Linked DNA regions of Mus musculus. The protein of the gene in region 2 purifies or fractionates together with the protein of the main gene of each other region. This does not show direct contact. Links are inferred from orthologs where the notes say so. Each region holds a gene or a part of one and is shown on either strand. Other genes may lie near its edges. The genes, in order: Baz1b and Daxx.

Region 1 (9,752 bases), on a different chromosome or scaffold from region 2:
AAAAACAAACAAGGGGCTGGTTAAGAGGACTGTTTGCTCTTCAGAGGTCATGAGTTCAATTCCCAGCAACCACATGGTGGCTCACAACCATTGGTAATTAGTTCAGGACATCAAAAGGAGGTTAAGAAAAAAAAGAAAAAGAAAAACAAAAAGAAAAAAAACAAAAAACAAAAAGCAAACCCTCAAAGATAACAATAACAAAACCAACAAGACAAAACATGAAGCAAAATAATAATAATACCAAAAATAATACCAAAAACAACAAAATATGAAAGTAGGTCCCTGTAGTGGTACATGGGAGGCAGAGGCAGGGAGATTTCTGAGTTTGAGGCCAGCCTGGTCTACAGAGTGAGTTCCAGGACAGCCAGGGGCACACACAGAATCCCTGTCTCGGAAAACCAAAAACAAACCAAACCAAACCAAAATTAAAATAACAAACAAACAAACCAGGCCAGGCAGTTAATACCAGCACTTGGGAGGCAGAGACAGGAAGATTTCTGAGTTTGAGGCCAGTCTGGTCTACAGAGTGAGTTCTAGAACAGCCAGGGCTACACAGAGAAGCCCTGTCTCAAAAGAAATACACACACACACACACACACACACACATATACATATTTATTATGAAAATGTTTGATGAACTCATTATTACACAAATACATATAAACAATATATGCTTTTTTTTTTTTTTTTTTTTTTTTTGAGACAGGACTTCTCTGTATAGCCCTCGCTGTTCAGGAACTCACTTTGTAGTCTCAGCACTAGTTAGCAGAAGGGACCAGGAGGAACACAAGCAGAAGTTCTCAGCTGTACCTCTCATGAGGAAGTGAAGATCAGCGAAGAGTGGATACTAACAAGCATTGCTCAGCCGGCTATCCCAGCAAGCAAGCTCAGCCTCTGTTATTGTCTGTTGAGTCCTTTGAGTTTTTTGGTGTATTTCTCTCTATGGAGTCCTGACAAATGTAGCCCAACTACAAAATATAAGGTGGACCGATACATGTGTGTCATTAGTGAAGAATCCTTCATCATATGTCCTTTCACAAGCTTGCAGAACATTCTTTCTCACATGTCTGCTTCAGTGAAACATTCCTTCACATGTTTGCCCCAGCAAAACACCATCCAACACAACTGGCTTTCCAAAGAACCCTCAAATTCCCACTTCAGATGGGTGTGCTTAGAACAATTGGAAGAAAAGATTCAGAAGGCAATGAGCAATCCAAGGTACAGAGGAGAGGTGGATGCAGCTAGGAGACTGAGGCAGGAGGCCTGTGGTTTGAGGCTGGCCTGGCTACATGGCATGAACCTGTCTCACAAAACCAGGATGGCAGTGCCAGGTGGTTCTGTCCCGGCCCAGTAAGCGCATTTTTCTTTACCTTCCCTTTTTTCTTTCATTTCTCCTTTCCTTCTTTTGCTTCCTGTCCCTACTCCACCCCCTTTATGATAGGCCATAGTCCTGCCTGACAAGTTGCCTCTCCTTCCCAGTGCTGGCATTCTGATCTTCACGACCACCTAGTATCAGATCCTCAACTCTCCAGCTTTTACTATTATTTTCTTGTGTGTGTGTCTGTGTGTGAATGTATGTTTTGCCTGTGTGTCTGTGCCCTACATGTGTACAGTGCCCAAGGAGACCAGAAGAGAGTGTCAGATCCTCTGGGACTGAACTTACAGATTGTTGTGAGCCACCATGTGGGTGCTGGGACTCAAACTCTAGTTCCCAGCAAGAGTAGCCAGTACTCTTAATTTTGAGTCATATCTCTGGCCCCAACGTTTATTTATTTATACATACATATCCTTTAATAGGATTTTAATTAATGAACTATACATTTAAATTTATTATTGTTATTGTTGGTTTCAGAGTCTCACTATGTACTTATTTATGTGAAGAGGTGGGGGTGGAGTGGGGGTGTGAAGGCATGCCCACATGCCTTCAGAGACCAAAAGAGGGCGCTAGAGCGTCTTTGACCTTTTGAACTGGAGTTAGTAATGGTTGAGAGCCATTGCATGTGGATGCTGGAATCCAACTCAGGTCTTCTGCAAGAGCAGTATGTGTTAACCTTAAGCCATCCCTTTAGGCCCATCTTTTTTAATAGTACATTTATTTTTATTTTAAATTATGTGTATGGGGGGGGTATGTATACAGGGTTGCAAGAATCTACTGCTCTGGAGTCACAGGCGATTGTGATCCTCCAACACAAAAACTGTGAATCAGACCCAGAATCTCTGGAAGAACTCTTAATTGCATGCGGAGTCACTTCTCCAGCCCCATGAGCTTAATACATATGTTTTCTAACATAGCTTTATTTATTTATTGTTATAGGGATTTGCTATTCAGCCTGTAAGACTGTAGCCCAGGTTAGTCACAAACTCACTTAGGACCGTCCAGCTTCAAAAACCTGCATCACTTAGTTGCACTATATACACACACACATATATATATATACACACACATATATATGAATGAATATAGTCTTTTACATATGTACATACAGAAAACCTTCTTTATTATTCTTCCGTTTATTTTACTTTCAAGATTTATTTTTAAATTGTGTATGTGTGCACACGTGGTGGGGGATGTTACGTGCACGTGAGTACGTGCACCTGAGGAGGCAAGAGGAATGGGAACTCCTGGAGCTGCAGCCGGAGGCAGGTTCCAGCTACCCGATGTGGGAGCTAAGAATTGAACTTGGGTCCTCTGAACGAGTACAAGATCTTAGCCCCTGAGTCTGCTCTGCGGCTCTTCCTCCACATATTTTTAAAGAAAGTTCTTCATTATCCTTCCCTGTAGTCCTTAAAAAACAGGCTGTTAATCTCCATTTCTCAATTACAGTGATGCCGCGTCGGGGAAGGTTGGGGTCCTAGTCGCCCCAATGCGGAACTTCAGTTTGGAGAGGGCCTGAGTTACTTCCCGCCCAGTACAGCTCCACCCGCGCATCCCCGGGCGTGGCCGAGCGCGGCCCCTTTAAGAAGGGGGGCGGAGCGCGAGTGGAAAGACAAAGCCCCTGGCCGCGCGCTCCCCCTCCCCCCTCCGGCGCAGCACACGGACAGTGAGTGCCCGGATGTCGGTGTCGCCGTCGGTGACAGATGGCGCAATGTCTGTATCAGTGACAGGGCTTTTTGCTCTGACCTCTTTGAGTCTTCCGCTTTTCGTCCTCCCCCTCCTACTGCTGTCCCATTACTTTTGAAGTCCGCCACTGGAGGCCCGCACGCCCGTCCCCGGCTCTTACATAACGTGACCTTTCACCTTTTCAGACTGCCCTCTGCTGCGCTGCAACTCAACTTCGCGGCTGGAGCCCAGGGGGCGGGACTCGACCTCGGAGCGGCAGCCTCTCTGAGCCAATAGGCTGCGAAGGCCGACGAGCCCTCCGCCTATCGGAGCCTCCGCCCCAGGGCGCCACGGAGAAGCAAGTTAGTCTGTGCGCTGGCCCGGCAGCGGGGGGGAGGAAGGGAATCTCCCGCCATTTTTCAATAATTTCCTCCCGTGCCCGCTGGAGAGGAGTCGTGACTGGCGGCCGCCGCGGCGGAGATCGGCGTGAGGTGAAAGGCGCCGGAAGGGGCGAGGAGAATCTCTCCGTTTTCTCCCCTCGAGGCGTCCCCCTGGCTTCCATGGCCGTGGCGCGGTCCCGCCAGCTCTGAGGGAAGCCGGAGTTCGCGCCGCCCTCTCACCCCTCCCCTCCCCCATCGCCCCGGGAGCCAGGCGCCTCGCTCGCTCGCTCGCCCCGGGGCTGCCGGGGCCTAGCGCTGCGCAGCAGAGCGGCCGAGCCTTCGGCGCTCCGTCCCCTGCCGGCGCCGCCGCGATGGCGCCGCTGCTGGGCCGCAAGCCCTTCCCGCTGGTGAAACCGCTGCCCGGAGAGGAGCCGCTCTTCACCATCCCGCACACTCAGGAGGCCTTCCGCACCCGGGAGTATCCTTTCTCCGCGCGCGGTGTGGACGCTCGGCCGCGGCTGCGCAGGGCGAGGGATGGAGATGGCGAGATGCGAATGGGCCGCGCGCGGCTCGCGGGGCAGCTGTCACCGCACGGGGCCGTCCGCGGGCCGTGATGCCCGGGGCCCTGCTTTACCCGGGCTTGGGAGCTCCGCGGCGAGATCCCTCCGGGCCGTCTCCAGCCGTCCTTCCCGGAACCGCGCGCCTCCATCCCTTTTCCCCTTACTTTGTCCCCGGGGCCTCGGTGGTGATCGCAACACCAATCCCCTCCTCCCCAACTTGGCTTCGGGCCCTAAATGACTAGGGAGGGTAGCCGGGTTCCCTTTGCGCATTTTATTTCTCTCTCCTTTCATAGAAATGAAACCGTCAAGTTTAAGTTTTTGAAATTGTACCGGCGCAGCCGCGTGATCCGGCTTGTGCAAGCCTCTACTGCGTCTTGAGTGGGCTGTGCGGGGACACTGATGTGGCTTGTGGGTTTTGTTTTTCTCCTCCGGAGTGGACTTTAGGCCAGGGATGAACTGACAGAACCGTAAATCACAAAACCTGGCATTAACTTTTTACCCACTGAAGATGGGAAGGAGCAGAAAGGTACATTGATGGTTCTGGTGGCCATTTATTTCCTAGAGAACACAGAAGTTTGACACTTAGAAGTTTCATTTTTCCGTCTTTTTTTTTTTTTTTTTTTTTTTGAGGGAGCGCTTCATGTAGCACCGGCTGGCCTCGAACTCAGAGAGGCTGGACACTGCATTCCCGATCCTGTCTGTCTGTCTGCCTGTCTCTCTGTCTCTCAATCTCTCTCTCTCTCTCTCTCTCTCTCTCTCTCTCTCTCTCTCTCTGGTACGTGAAACTGGTGTTTTAGAATACAAAGTCAGCATTTCCAATCATTACTTTAAGATTTCTTGACCAAGCATAGCCTCTTAGTTAAAAGTTGTAGTACTTCCCCCCCCCCCCCCCCCGCCCCCGGTAGGGGGAATGTTGAATCTTTTAAGGCTTATTTGTTTTTTAAAAAGCTAAGTTTCCTTACCAAACTTGCCTGTCCTGCTATCTTTACCACCCCTTTTCCTTTGGAAAGATTAGGTAAGAGCAGGAAGGATTCAAGTGAAGTATTTCAGTTTGCTCTTGGCCTTTGCCTCTTTCCTGCTTTGTTTTTTGTTGTTTCATTTTTAATTGTCTTGTAACCTAGGTTGATGTCTAAGGTAGGTGTTGGAAGCTAAGTGTGACGTTTTCCTTCCTAACTTCCCAAGTGATGGAATTGCCGATCACCTGTGTAGATTTAATAAAATGTTCTGAATATTTAGGATACTTTTACTCCCCTTCCTTTCCTCAATATTTGGGGAATTTACCGTAGGGCCCTGCACTATTAGTAAGCTCCATCCTGGGCCCTCTGGTTTTTTATTTTGAGTCAGGGCATCATTAAAATTGCTGAGACTGGCTGGGAACTCACCATGTGGCTTAGGCAGGCCTTGAACTTTTGGTTCTCCTGCTTTAGCCTCCCTAGTATCTGGGATTAATAGACCTCAGGACCAGCCAGTACAGCTTCAGCCCTTCTAGCATCAGTTCTGAAAGGCAGTGTCCACCTACAGAGATTATTTTCCACCTTTTAATTTTGTCTGTATAGATGTTTCCCTGCCTATGTGTCTATGGAGCACTGTGTGTCTGGAGCACCCTGGAGGCCAGATTTGGATTGTGAGCTACTGTGAGGGTGCTGGGGATTGAACCCAGGTTCTGTGCACTTAACCTCACTGTTGACTCTAAGCCCCAGTTGGGTTTTTGTTTTTGTTTTCTCTTTCTTTCAGTAGGGTCTCACTGTGTGGCTCTGTCAAGGATGGAACATTTTGTAGAGCAGATTGGCCTGAAACTTAAAGATCTGCCATTCCATACCTGTTCTAAGTTCTGAGATGAAAGGGTTCTTGCAGCACCATGCCTGGCCTCCATGTAGGTGTTTGCTTATGTATGCTTATGGCATTTCTGAGCTGAAAAGGGTCTTAGAGGTGGTCCAGATTTCCTGTCTGCTTGCCCAGTGGGCCCAAGGGAATTGAAGTCGGTATGTTTAAAGTTCATGGACTCTTGTGTATAAATGATGAATGTTGGGATTACAATCCAGTGCTCTTTCAAGGATGTCACTGTAAATAAATGAAGGGAAGAACAGGAACTGTGGTACAGGATGGGGCCCAGGGCCCTGCATGTGCTCTGCAGGCTCTGACACACACCATGTTGCCTTTGAGCTCCTGAATCCTGCGACAGCCTCCCAAGTGAAGAGTTTCTGGGTTCTAGGGTCATAGTCATGTGCCACCATGCCACACATCCTCCTTTGCTTTTAACTGAATCAAAACTTTTTTTCTTTTAAAGATTTATATATTTTATGGACATGAGTGTTTTGCCTACATTTATATGTGTGAACCTTCTGTGTGCCTATACATGGTTTCCACATGTGTTAGCTGAGAACTGAACCTAGCTCCACAGCAAGTGCTCTTAACTGTTGAGCCACCCCCACACTTTTATTGAGATATTAGTCTACTCTGTGTCAGTTTGTGTTATAATTAGATGATATAAGGTGTATTTAGTTCTATGAAGTACATTATTCTAAAGGTACCATACTTGCTTTTAAAACTATTTTCATGATGTCAGTAGAGTAAAACTTACTCCTGGGACTCTGACATAGTCTCCTTACATGTCAGTTATCTATGTATCTATCTACTTACTTATTTATTTAGGCAGGGTGTCACTATGCAACCTTGACTGGCCAAGTCCAGACTGGTTTAAACTCCGAGGTTTGCTATCCTTGGTATCATGGTACCATACCCAGCTGATTCTTTGACCTATTGATGGTCATACTAATATTATCAGAGGTAAGTCTTTTTTTTTTTTAAGATTTATTTATTATTATATATAACTACACTGTAGCTGCTTCAGACACACCAGAAGAGGGAGTCAGATTTCATTACGGATGGTTGTGAGCCACCATGTGGTTGCTGGGATTTGAATTCAGGTCCTTTGTAAGAGCAGTCAGTGCTCTTACCTGTTGAGCCATCTCACCAGCCCCAGAGGTAAGTCTGAGACATTTGAAACATAGCCAGCTAATTTAGAATTATTAACAAAGGCATTGTTTATTATTTATTTATTGTCTGGAGGTGGGTTGGGTGTATATGCTTTGATGCACATTGTGGAGCAAGCAGGCACCATCATAGTACTGTTTCCCTAATCTTGCAAACATTTTCTTAATGAAAACTGAAACCTGAACCATTTTAAATGGTATACATTTAATAGACATTTGTTTAGAATTTCCTCTACCAGTATTTAGGACTTTTAGATAAATGAATTATTTTTTAAAAGATGATATTTAGAGGAAATTGCTCTCCTGGAAATTCCCAGAAGCAGGGAGCATATTGAGAGTAGTTTTGAGTTCTGGACCGTGTGGCTGGCTGGTTGGCATGTTTCATTATGAGTGGTTCCATAGAGGATAGCAGATGTATGGTTGAGCAACAGCTGTATTGGAAGTATCACCACTCCTCAATTTATATTTAGGGTTATACATATATATATTTAAAAGATTCATTTATTTATTATATTTAAGTACACTGTAGCTGTCTTCAGACACTCCAGAAGAGGGCATCAGATTTCATTATGGATGGTTATGAGCCACCATGTGGTTGCTGGGATTTGAACTCGGGACCTTTGGAAGAGCAGTCGGCACTCTTAACCACTGAGCCATCTCACCAGCTCTTAGGGTTATATTTTAATAAGAGTAATTTTCTCCTCATTTTGACTGCATGTTTAGCTATAACAACTTTTTCTATTTTAACTTAAAGCCGTGAGTATGTTCTTAAAAGGTACCTTGTATGCCTTCATTGAATTAATTGACAGTGGAAGCTTACTGGCCGCTTATGGCTGTAATCCCTGCATTCCAAAGCTAAGGCAGGAGGAAAGGGGGCTTTAGGCCAGCCTGGCTACAAGGGAGACCTTTTCTCAAAAACAGAAGGGCTGGAGAGATGGCAGTGTTAAGAGCACTACCATAGGTCTACCATAGAAACCCCGGATTGCAGGCTCAAAACCTGTAAATCCAGCTCCAAGGGAGCATAATGCCCTCTTCTGGCTTCTGTGGGTACTACACATACATGGCATGCTTCATTCACAGACACCAGCACACTCAAAATTTTTTAATAAGATTCATTTTATTTTATGTATATGAATATACTGTAGCTGTCTTCAGACTCACTAGAAGAGGGCATCAGATCCCATTACAGATGTTTATTAGCCACCATGTGGTTTCTGGGAATTGAACTCAGGACCTCTAGAAGAGCAATCAGTGCTCTTAACTGCTGAGCCATCATCTCTCCAGCCCCCCAATTTTTTTTTTCAAGATTTATTTATTTGGTGTATGTGAGTACACTTTCACTGTCTTAGGGCAGACCGGAAGAGAGCATCAGATCCCATTACAGATGGTTGTGAGCCACCATGTGGTTGCTGGGAATTGAATTCAGACCTCCGAAAGAGCAGTCAGTGAGTGCTTATAACCTCTGAGCCATCTCTCCGGCCCCAAAATTTTTAATCTTAAAAGAAGGAAACTGGAAGTTTCAGATAATACACGAATTTAATGATTGTATGTTTTCACTATCATAGGTTATCAATTGCACTTTACCTTTGTACCTATGGATAGTCTTCCGTAGGGGTAGTACCATAGGCAAGACACTTACTAGAATAACATTAATTGATTAGAGTCAGGTTGGTGTATATTTTTGGTTGCTGTTGCTTTTATGTGTCTGAGTGTTTATGGACATAAATGTGTGTATGGTAACCATGGAGATAAGAAGAAAGGGTTGGATCCCCTGGGACTGTAGTTACAGACAGTTTCAAGCTTCCATGTGAGTGCTAGAAATTGAAACCAGATCCTCCTTGAGAGTGGCCAGTGCTCTTCAACATTGAGCCATTTCTCCAGCCCTGTTTGTTTTGAGACAGGGTCTCACTGTGTCTGGCCTTGCAGAGATCCATCTACCTCTGCCTCCCAAATGCATGTGCCACCATGTCTAGCCCTCCACTCTGTTTTTTGTTTTGTTTTGTTTTGGTGTTTGTTTGTTTTTGAGAACCCCCAGCAATCCTCCTGCCCTGCCTCACTATTGCTGGGATTAAAAGCATTTGCCACCACTGACTCAGCTGGAGTTATGGTCTGGCTTATGGAACCCAGGCTGGCTTTTACTTGATTTTGACCGTTGTGACTGGCCTGGAGCTTTTAGGCAGCCCCTCCAGCTTTAGCCTCCAACAGCTTTTGATATTTGGTCATAAGATCTGTTAAGTAAAACTGGGTTTCAAAAGAAGCAGGAGCTGGAGCTAGCGACAGCCTAATGTAGACTCATGCTTTTGTTGTGTGCATCAGTAGTCATGTGTGCTCAAGTTTAGAAACAACTGTTTTAGGAACTTTGTAGTATGCTCTGGGAACTCTTATATGGTTTACTGAGGGGCCATTATTTGTACAGTAAATCTGGCTCTAAACAGACTGAGTAGAGCATGTTTGAAGAGTTGGGTAGCTGTAAATAGTGTTAACTTATAGTTCTGAATATTTTTTTTAAGCCAGGATTTCTTGAACCCTGGTTGTCCTGGAACATGCCTGATAGGCCTGGCTAGCCTCAAACTCAAGAGATCTGCCTCCAAGTGCTGGGATTAAAGTTGTGGGTCACCAATCCTGATTTTGAATAAATCTTTAAAAACTTAAAAAAACAATTACTTTATCTGTGTTTTGTTGGCATATATATCTGTGCACCATGTACATGTCTGGTGCCCTCAGATGCCAGAAGAGAAGAGGTTACATCTCCCGGAACTAGCGTTAAGGATGTTTGTGA
Region 2 (9,652 bases):
TATTAATGTGTCTGTGTAAAACTTAAAACATTTTGATTTTTTTTTTTTGTCAAAAGAAACACCATCAAAACGGGAGGAGCTCTGTCCATCTTTTACTCCATCATCTTCCAACAGCCATACAAAAAACCTTCTGGATGCAGGGAGCACGGGGAGCATGGGGCCTGCTAATCAGAGTCTGAAAGCACGATGATCTCCTCCGGGTCGCACTGTGTGGCCACACTGGTCTGCAGACAAGTCAGAGGAGAAAGAAGGGTGAGCCAGGCATGGCGGCTCACGCCTTTAGTCCGAACACTCAAGAGGCAGAGGCGGGCTGATATCCGAGTTTGGGGCCAGCCTGATCTACTACATACAGAGTTCTGGGACAGTCAGGGCTACATAGAAAGACCTTGTCTCAGAAACAAAACAAAGCAGGATGGAAGGCTGGAAGATGGCTCAGCCACTAAGCACGCAGCTGCTTTGCAGAAGACCCGAGTGTTGTATCCAGTCTCACATGGCGGCTCTCTGCCTTCTCCGTGACTCCAGATCTATAGGATCAGACGCCCTCTTCTGGCCTCCATGAGCACCAGACACAAATGTAGCACATAGGTATGCATGCCAACAAAACACCTATTTACATAAAATAAGTCTTTTTTGTTTTGTTTTACATGGTCTCACTATGTAACCTTGACTGTCACTGGGTAGACTAGACTGTGGCCTTGAAGTTAGAGAGACCTGTATGCCTCTGCCTCCTGGTTGATGGGGTTAAACCTAAACACACACACACACACACACACACACACACACACACACACAGCCAGTCTTTGAGACTTTGTGTGTTCTTTTTCCTCCCCTTTATCCGCCCCCATCACTAGATAGAAAAGAAAGGATAGACAGGAGAGACAGGATCTCTGATTCTAATGTCTCTCTTCCTGTTTGTTCTTTGAGCAAGACTACTAACAAACCACAACCAACCCCTGTACTACCACCAACCATGCTTCCTGGAAGGTGGGGAGGCTCTGCCATTTATATGCTCTCCTGAAAAGTTCCCAGAATTCCAAACATCACTTCACACAACCAAAGCAACTATCTGTAGCTGGTAAAGCCACACCTCTAGAGCTCACAGTCACAGTCAGTTGGAAGCAGCCCCACACTCCACACCGGGATTAAAATGAAAACCTATTTCACTGGTTTTTTGTTTGTCAGTTAGTTGGTTTTTGGGTTTTAGACAGTTTCTCTGTGTGGCCCTGGCTGTCCTGGGACACACTTTGTAAACCAGGCTGGCCTCAGACTCAAGAGAGATGCTCCTGCCTCTGCCTCCCAGGATCAAAGGCATGTGTCGCTACCACTCAGCTCTGAGTTGTTATAAAGACGCCAAAATTCCAAAACTGTCACTACACAAGCATGCATGCACGTGCACGCACTTGCGGGCGGGCAGGAAGATGGGGAAAACAGAGGAGCAGGAGGTGCAATACCCACAGAAAGGGAAAGGGTGAGAATGCAGTGCCAGGGGACACTGCCCACTCACCTTATAAATACACTGCCGGAGAGACTGAGCCTGGGGTGTCTGGAGAAGCAGGGATGGAGAAGGGCTGCACAGAGAGCTGGTCACCAGTTCATGGCTGGGAGAGTCCACCCTTGTGGAGGAATCAGCGACAGAAGCCACAGAGGCCAAGGGGGGGGATGGCATAGGCTGGACACTTGTGTTCTGCCCACTGTCCTGCTGTGCCATCGGTTCTTTTATATAGCTAAGGACAGAAGAAAAATGACAGAAAGGGCCTGAGGCTGCAGGGAGACCTAGGACATCAGGCTCCCTTCAGAGAGTCCTGCCTCCTTGCCTGCCTTCCTCCTCACCCACTATTACCTGTTTCCTAACAGTCCAGAGCCCAGTTGCTTCTTTTCCTTCCGAAATCTCTTGCTGGGGGGACTGGCATCTCTCCAAGTGTGAGAAGAGACACGCCCATTGACAGATGTAGAGGTAACCACAGCTGCCCCATTTTCCAAGATGGTGGGGAGGGAATCTTCCGACTTTTTCCTGGAGGAGGAAATGTCCCTTTCCTCAGGCAAAGCTTCCATCTCTAGCTCAGCGAGCTGGGACACAGGACTCTCGTCTCCCAGGAGCGGCTCGAGGAGCTGCTCTCCACTGCTCTCAGCGTCAGTGCTGGGAGGGTCCAGGGATGCCCCTGGCGGGGATGCTGGGGTCTCTGTCAGTCCTCTCTTTTGCTGCCCCTCGGGGGTCCTGAGCCCTTCTGCAGGCTCTGAATTCCTTCTATGGAAAAAGTCTGAAGGCGATGTGGGACTCTCATTTCCTTCATTATCTGGAAAAGAAAGGGGAGGGGTGGATGAGGAACAGGGATAGAGGGGCTGTGCAAAGGACATAGGAGAGGGCTGGAGAGATGGCTCAGTGGGTAAGAGCACCGGACTGCTCTTCCAAAGGTCCAGTGTTCAAGTCCCAGCAACCACATGGTGGCTCACAACCATCCGTAACGAGATCTGACGCCCTCTTCTGGTGTGTCTGAAGACAGCTACAGTATACTTACATATAATAATCAATAAATCTTTAAAAAAAAAAAAAAGGGCATAGGAGGAGGAAGAGGAGGAGGAGGAAGGAAGGAAGGAAGGAAGGAAGGAAGGAAGGAAGGGAGGGAGGGAGGGAGGGAGGGAGGGAGGGAGGGAGGGAGGGAGGAAGGGAGGGAAAGGCTCAACAAGGAGCTCATGTCCGACAGAGCAGAACTAACACCACAAGGATGCTCCCCACAGAGGAGCTCCGTTTACGCATATACCTCCTCCTTCCTCTTCTTCATCACCCCCCTGATCTTCCTGCAACTGTTCTAGATCCTCATCTTCATCTTCAGTAGCCTCTTTCTCCTCCTCTTCCTCCTCCTCCTCCTCCTCACTTTCCTCGTTATCTTCGTCGTCGTCATCATCATCGTCATCATCGTCATCATCAGTCTCAGCTTTGGAGGTAGTAGGGCACTCCTGGGATGCCATTCCGCTAGGACCCTGAGGGAAAGAGCAGTCTCTCTTAAGGAATCCCGTGCCCCACAGCTTTTTGATTGGTAGGAGGAGGACTCAACTCTGGGAGCTCATGACTGCGAGACTGCAAGGCAAGCACATCACCAATATTCTTTCCCCACTTCCATACGCTGCTCCAGGAGTCACCCTGGAGTGCCTAGTGGCAGTGCAGGGCGCAGACAAGATCTGAGTTAACCCTTCCATACCTCACCAGATTCCGAGGAGGCTTTGGGGGGGTCTGAAGGTTGGGGGGCGGTGCCTAAGAGCCGGGCTCGTCTCTTCTGTCTCTCGCCCTCCTCAGTCTTGTCTTGCATCATTGCATACTTGGAGATGACCTCATCCAGCCGGTTCATGGCCAAGGTTCGATTTTCCCGAAGGCGGCGAGCCAATGTGGGATCAGACAGTGCGGGGTCAACGCCTGTGTGGGAAAACAGGGTCAGCAAACCCAGTCCCAATCCTACAAGGGACTAGAGATGCCTCCATCCAACCTGAAGGGAGCGTCCTACCTGGCCTATAGTCATCTGTGAGGTGACAGCCAAAGTTGTAGATGAGATCCAGGTGGCGCCGCTCCTGTAACCTGACGCCCACGTCCCGGAAGGCATCCTGAGCCAGGAGCTGAAGCTGCTGTCTGGGAAGGCCCAGGCTGTGCCGGGTCGCCGCCTTCTCCACGGCTCTCAGCACATCTCCATAATCGGGGAAGGTGTCCAGCCCCGGCTTGTTAATGAGCCGTTCAATGCGCCTGTTGACCTCTGGGTACCGGGTGCCTCGGTACGGAATTCGCTGCTCTATGACCCGCCCCGTCAGAGAAGAGCAGTCCTTCAACTCACACAACCGCCCGAAGAGGCGGATCAACTTCCTCTTCAAGCGGGCCTCCTGCAAATACGAGGAGTCTGGGTCATCCAGCTCTGACAGGTCCAACTCCTTCTCCTGCAGCCGCCGAATCTCGGCTACGTACAGTGCCAGCAGCTGCTCCAGGCGCTGGATCTGCCTCCGGGAACCGCGAGTCCTTGAGGCCTCAGAGGCAGTGTTTTCAGTGTTTGTAAGGTCAGAGGGGGGCTCTGTGGGAGGGTTAGGGCCCGACGCCTCACTGGTCGTTGAGGCTGCAGGAGCTAAGTTCAACTTCTTCTTGATGGAGTGAGCTTTAAGAACAGTGCAGAGCTCGTTAATGTACACATAGATCTTAGCGGGCCGCTTCCGAGACCGAGCCAGAACCCTGGAGAGGATGTTGCAGAACTCTGCAGAGGCCAGAAACACAGACTGGGCACGCTGCTGCAGTTTGTGGAGGAACGGAACCACCTCAGGGTGGTCTGATGTCTCCGTCTTACACAGTTCAAGGAACTACATGGTTCAAGGGAAGGGAAAAGGGGGGAAAAAAAGATGGAATCGGTGAGGAAGCCAGAACAACCAGCCAATCACACACCCCTTTACCTGGCATCGGCCCTATCACACCATAGTGGATCACATCTTTTGTTTTTCAAGACAGGGTTTCTCTGTGTAGCTCTGGCTGTCCTGGAACTCACTCTGTAGACCAGGCTGTCCTCGAACTCAGAAATCTGCCTGCCTCTGCCTCCCAAGTGCTGGGAATAAAGGTGTGCTCCACCACTGCCCAGCTTTTTTTTTTAACATTTATTCTATATATGAGTACACTGTAGCTGTCTTCAGATACACCAGAAGAGGGCATCAGATCCTATTACAGACGGCTGTGAGCCACGCCATCATGTGGTTGGTGGTAATTGAACTCAGGACTTCTGGATGCTCAATGCTCTTAACCGCTGAACCATCTCTCCTGCCCAGTGGTTCACATTTTTAATCCTAGCTGTCAGGAGGCTGAGGCAAGTAAAAGCTCTGTGAGTTCAAGGCCAGCATGGGCCACAAAGGGCGACCCTTTTATCTCAAAAGCTTACCTCTTCAAAGAGCTTCTCATTATCCAACTTGTAGCACTTCCTACTACCGGAGTTACTGCTCCCTCCATCCACACGGGGCTCGGAGAGACCAGTGGCCTGTTGAGACAGGCCAGGACCAGGTCCTGTTGAGGCAGGATTGGGGGGTAGGTTGGAGGGCCCTGGTTGAGCAGCAGCTTCATCTTCATCGTCATCATCAAGTACAATGATGCTGTCATCGGTGGCCATGGGGGTTCAAATTCCCCTGAGGGAGAAAGTATTGGAAAGGTCAGAATTCTGGAAGGGGCAGGACAAGGGAGCCTCGAAAGAGCCCCTCCTGCTTAGTCCCACCCCGTCGGGGTTTCAGAATAGCTTAGTCCTTCCCAAGCCTTCCCAAGTCTTCAACGCCTGTCTTCTGCAACTCTCAGTTTCGAGCAGCTCTGGGGGAAAGCCTCCGGATCACCTTAAATCCTCACCCTCAACTCCAGCCACTCCCACCCCAGTGCGTTTCCTGTCTTTCGGTTGCGTTTTCCCACACTCTGTCAGCTGCTACGTTTTCTCTTTCCTCCCAATCCAATGGAGGACAAGGTCCCACGCTGCTCTCCGAGTTTTTCTGTCTACAGGAACCAACACCCTGTCCACACCACGTAGTGGGTTTGCCCAGCTCTCGCCCTCAAACAACACAGTCCTCTCGGACTTCTCCTTAACTCCAACTCTTCGACTCCCTCCCCAGAGCCTGGTGTCCTCTCCGCTCCTACAGTCATCTCCGTGTTCCCCCTTCCTCCAACCGGGGCTGTAGGCTGGAGATTTTTCACCTCCAGTCCCCTCCCTCTCACCGCACCCTGGTTTTCCCAGCCAACTCTCAGCGACGGTACCCGACAGCGAGCCCACCACTCGCCATTCCTCCTGTCTGGGCCTCAGCTTCCCGCCAAGGAGCCCTCTCTCGGCGTTCAGCCCTAGGCCGCCACACTCGCCTTCAGGGCTAGCAAGGTACCCTACCAGCTCGGCCCTGAGCCTCGTCGGGCAGGCCCTGCCGAGCCGTCGCCTTCGCCACTCCTGCGCCGCCACCCCCGCTCCGCGCACGACCTGGCCCCCACCTCAGAAACGGTCTCTCGAGGATCCCCTGAGCGCGGATCACAAATCCTCGCATAGTTCCCTCCGCCTTCCTCTCCCCAACCCCCACCGCAGACCCCACAACAGACCGGAAGCCTTAGCGCTTCCGCCTGGAGCACCTGAGGGCGGCCATATTGCTGTACGGGACCCAGGCCGCTTAGAGCCGGAAGTGACGCTCGGCTCGCCCACCGAGGCCACCGCTCCGGGGACGCGGAGGCTCGACGGGGCGGGGCGGAGGACCAGGTAGATGGGGCGCGCCATGTTGCCGTACGGCACCGGCCTGCTCCGCGGCGAGGCGTGGAGCTCTTTGCACCAGGAGCTTGCCGAAGCCGCTCGGCCAATCAGAAACTCCAGCCTCAGACCTGCCCCACAACCCCAAGCCATCGCGTGGAGTCGCATCGGGTAAGACCGGTCCCTCCACCCTAGGAGGGTAAGGAATCTCCTGCAGGTAGCTAAGGAGCTGATGTCTCTATGGCTGTGCAGGGCTCCAGGGAACGAAATAAAAGATATGCTTTTCCTGCCCTGGGTTGGTGTAAGCCTTGCACCGCCTTCTCTGCTCTCCCTCCGGCCCCTGGAGTTCCACCGCCTGGCTGCCTACGCTGGCCCTTCCCTTCCTTCGAGAGGAGGCGTGCACCTCGAGGCTGTCCAGCCGGGCCTCCTGGGCCAGGTGCACACACACACGAACACACGCATACAAATGAGCACAGCATGATGCTGGAGTGAGCTATTGTTTTTATTGTCGTCGGCGACACGCATCTCAGACTGCACCACTGTCGTTATGACCGAGCCCCCTGGTGCGAACCGTGGGCCCCCTGTTTGTCCCGGAGTCGTCTTGACCGGTACAGAAGGCAGTGCTTCACTGCCTGGGTTTGCAGGGCGGGAGGCGGAGCGCGGGATAACCTGGCGCGGGCTTGGGGAGAAGCCGTGCAAGCTGCCGCTGGGAGCTCTAGGAAAAGAGGCTCATGAAATCCCGCGGGGTGTCTTCTTCTCCCGCAGAGCCGCGGAGAAAAGGAAGAGGGGGAAACCACTGTGATGCCCGCCCGGCCCAGGGTGGGGAGGCAAGGTCCGCAGGTGTTGATGAGGAAGCCTGAACGTCAACACTCTGCGCGGAGACTTCGGCTCTGCAGCCTTCCTTCCACGGTGGTGGGCATCTTGCCAATTTGCAGGACCAAGAAAGAAGCCCAGCTGCTCTCAGAGGACCCGAACTTCAATTTTAAACCCACCTCCTCTCATTGTGTCCGGCCTTCTGGGCTTACAGCATTTCAATAGGAGCGGGGTGGGGTGGGGTGGGGTAGCTCTCCAATGGCTGACCGGACTCTTAAGAGATGATTTAATTTTCTTATCCTTGGGTTTCTCAAAATGGGTTTCCCTGAAATAAAGGTTCCCCCATCTTTTCACAATTATTTATATTCCCTTTTACGCGTGTGCCAGTGTAAGTCTCTACACAACATGAGTGCAAGTGCCTGTGAAAGCCTTTAAGAGCACTTGTTGCTCACAACCAACTGTAATCCCAGTTCCAGGAAATCCAATAGGCTTGTGTGTGGTGAACATACGAGCATCCAGGCAAATCATCCATACACGTAAAGTAAAATAAATGTATTGTTAAAGTTAGTCGTTATAAAAACTGACTGCAAGCTGAGGGACCATGGAAGAAGGGAGCGGGTGTGGATGGAAGTTAGGAGGTGAAAGTTGGATTAGAGTTCTGTGACAAGGCCAGCTTGTGGCACTGACCAACTCACAGAGGCCAAGATTACCTGCTATTAAGAGACCATCAGAGGAGCTGGAGAGATGACTCAGCAGGTAAGAGCACTGACTGCTCTTCCAAAGGTCATGAGTTCAAGTCCTAGCAACCACATGGTGGTTCACAACCATCCTTAATATAGATCTGATGCCCTCTTCTGGTGTGTCTGAAGACAGCTACAGTGTACTTAGATATAATAATAAAATAAATCTTTAAAAACAAAAAAAAAAAGCCCATCAGAAAGCTGGGCATGGTGGCGCATGCCTTTAATCCCAGTACTTGGGAGGCAGAGGCAGGCAGATTTCTGAGTTCTAGGACAGCCAGGGCTAAACAGAGAAACCTGTCTTGAAAATAAAAAAAAAGAAAGAAAGAAAAAAATCAGAAATAAGGAAGGGGGCTCATGAGAATCCCCACCCATCTCTAAAGAGCTATTGGCAATTCTTGTTGGGAGAGTCTTTTTCTGCCACTGGTAAACCCAGGGAGCTCCAACCCCTAGGTCCCCTCCTGCAAATCCCAATTAAACTTAACAGTGGGGGGAGGAGCCAGGGAGTAGAATCAGCCTGGGGGAGTAAGAGCTTCCCTAGGAGAGGGGCATCCAAGAGAAACGCAGGTGAAATTAACCAGAATTCCTTATATATAATGAATAAAAGTAAGCATAGGTTTTTACATTGTCTGATCCATTCTGTTCCTGCAATAATCACAAATGCTCAAAGTACTTTTTATGGACATGAAGATCAAAAGAGGGTGGACTGATCCCAGGGACTGGAGCTGTGAGCAGCCATGATGAGAAATGGTAGACAGCCGCTGCGTATGAGATGTATATGGAGGGAGCTAGGGTTAGGGAGGCCCTGACCTGGAGCAGGGCTGGGAGTCTCAGGAAGGAGGATGCTAGTATGGGAACACGCACAGAGGCACCCCAGGCACACTGCTGAGCCTTGTGTCCTTTTTCCAGAGGCAAGGGAAACATCCTTTCTGCAGACAGGAGCCTGTTTCACAAGGTCCTGGGGGAATTCTGGCCTTTGTCTAACTGCCAGGGACTCTTCTAGAGTCCAGCTTGAGGTGGGCCAGGACCCATCTCTGGACCTATGCACGGCCTAAGACCTAACATGTCCTAGATGTATTGCTCCTGGATAGATACTTGAAGAAATTTAAGTCAGAACACCACGTACACATCCATGTTTATTGCTGTAGCGATTGCAATAGGCAAAAGAACAGAAGCAGCCAACTGGCCCGTAAAACAGATAAAATGTGGTTCGGACATACAATGGAGTCTTACAGCCAGAAAGAAAACTGAAACCATGATACTTGCAGGAAATCAAAAGGAAATAAAATACACTCTTAAGGGTTGGAGAAATGGCTCAGCGGTTAAGAGCACTGACTGCTGTTCCAGAGGTCCTGAGTTCAAATCCCAGCAACCACATGGTGGCTCACAACCATCCTTAATGAGATCTGATGCCCTCTTCTGGGGTGTCTGAAGACAGCGACAGTGTACGTACATATAATAAATCTTTGAGTGAGCTGGGCTGGAGAGAGAAGAAAAAAATGTCTAAGATAGCTACAGTGCACTTTAAATCTTAAAAAATAAAAGAAAAAAGTACATTCTTAAGCAAAATAAGCTATTCAAAAGGAAAAATTATTCTTTGTATGCTCTCATGTGGGTTCTGAAATTACATTTATATACAGTATGTATATAAAGGTGTGTGTGTGTGTGTTGCAGACCTGAGTCTGGTTCCCAGTACCCACTTCAGGTGACTAACACCTTCTATAACCCCAGCCCCTAGGGATCCGACAACCTCTAGCTTCCGCGGGCACCTGAACTCATGCACATACCCACAAACAGAAACGCAGATAAACAAAGATAATCTCAGAGTGTTGGCCTTAACTATGTCTTCCACCCTGACCTCTCTAACATCTCCTTTCTCACCTC

What was found.
Region 1: the proteins of Daxx (region 2) and Baz1b purify together in Homo sapiens (co-immunoprecipitation; 3 studies listed by BioGRID and IntAct, with this or other methods). This does not show direct contact. The link is inferred for Mus musculus from reciprocal best matches to the Homo sapiens genes DAXX and BAZ1B.

Annotation. Positions count from the first base shown.
Region 1 is NC_000071.6:135,183,859-135,193,610, forward strand, and holds the start of Baz1b (tyrosine-protein kinase BAZ1B), read left to right. Parts: upstream 1-3,464; 5' UTR 3,465-3,791; coding exon 3,792-3,898; intron 3,899-9,752. UniProt on the Homo sapiens protein: Atypical tyrosine-protein kinase that plays a central role in chromatin remodeling and acts as a transcription regulator. Involved in DNA damage response by phosphorylating 'Tyr-142' of histone H2AX (H2AXY142ph).
Region 2 is NC_000083.6:33,905,915-33,915,566, reverse strand, and holds the start of Daxx (death domain-associated protein 6), read right to left. Parts: upstream 6,123-9,652; 5' UTR 5,969-6,122; exon of another isoform or gene 5,713-5,968; intron 5,137-5,712; 5' UTR 5,121-5,136; coding exon 4,896-5,120; intron 4,330-4,895; coding exon 3,498-4,329; intron 3,410-3,497; coding exon 3,198-3,409; intron 2,980-3,197; coding exon 2,760-2,979; intron 2,295-2,759; coding exon 1,841-2,294; intron 1,762-1,840; exon of another isoform or gene 1,725-1,761; coding exon 1,505-1,724; intron 225-1,504; coding exon 165-224; 3' UTR 1-164. UniProt on the Homo sapiens protein: Transcription corepressor known to repress transcriptional potential of several sumoylated transcription factors. Down-regulates basal and activated transcription.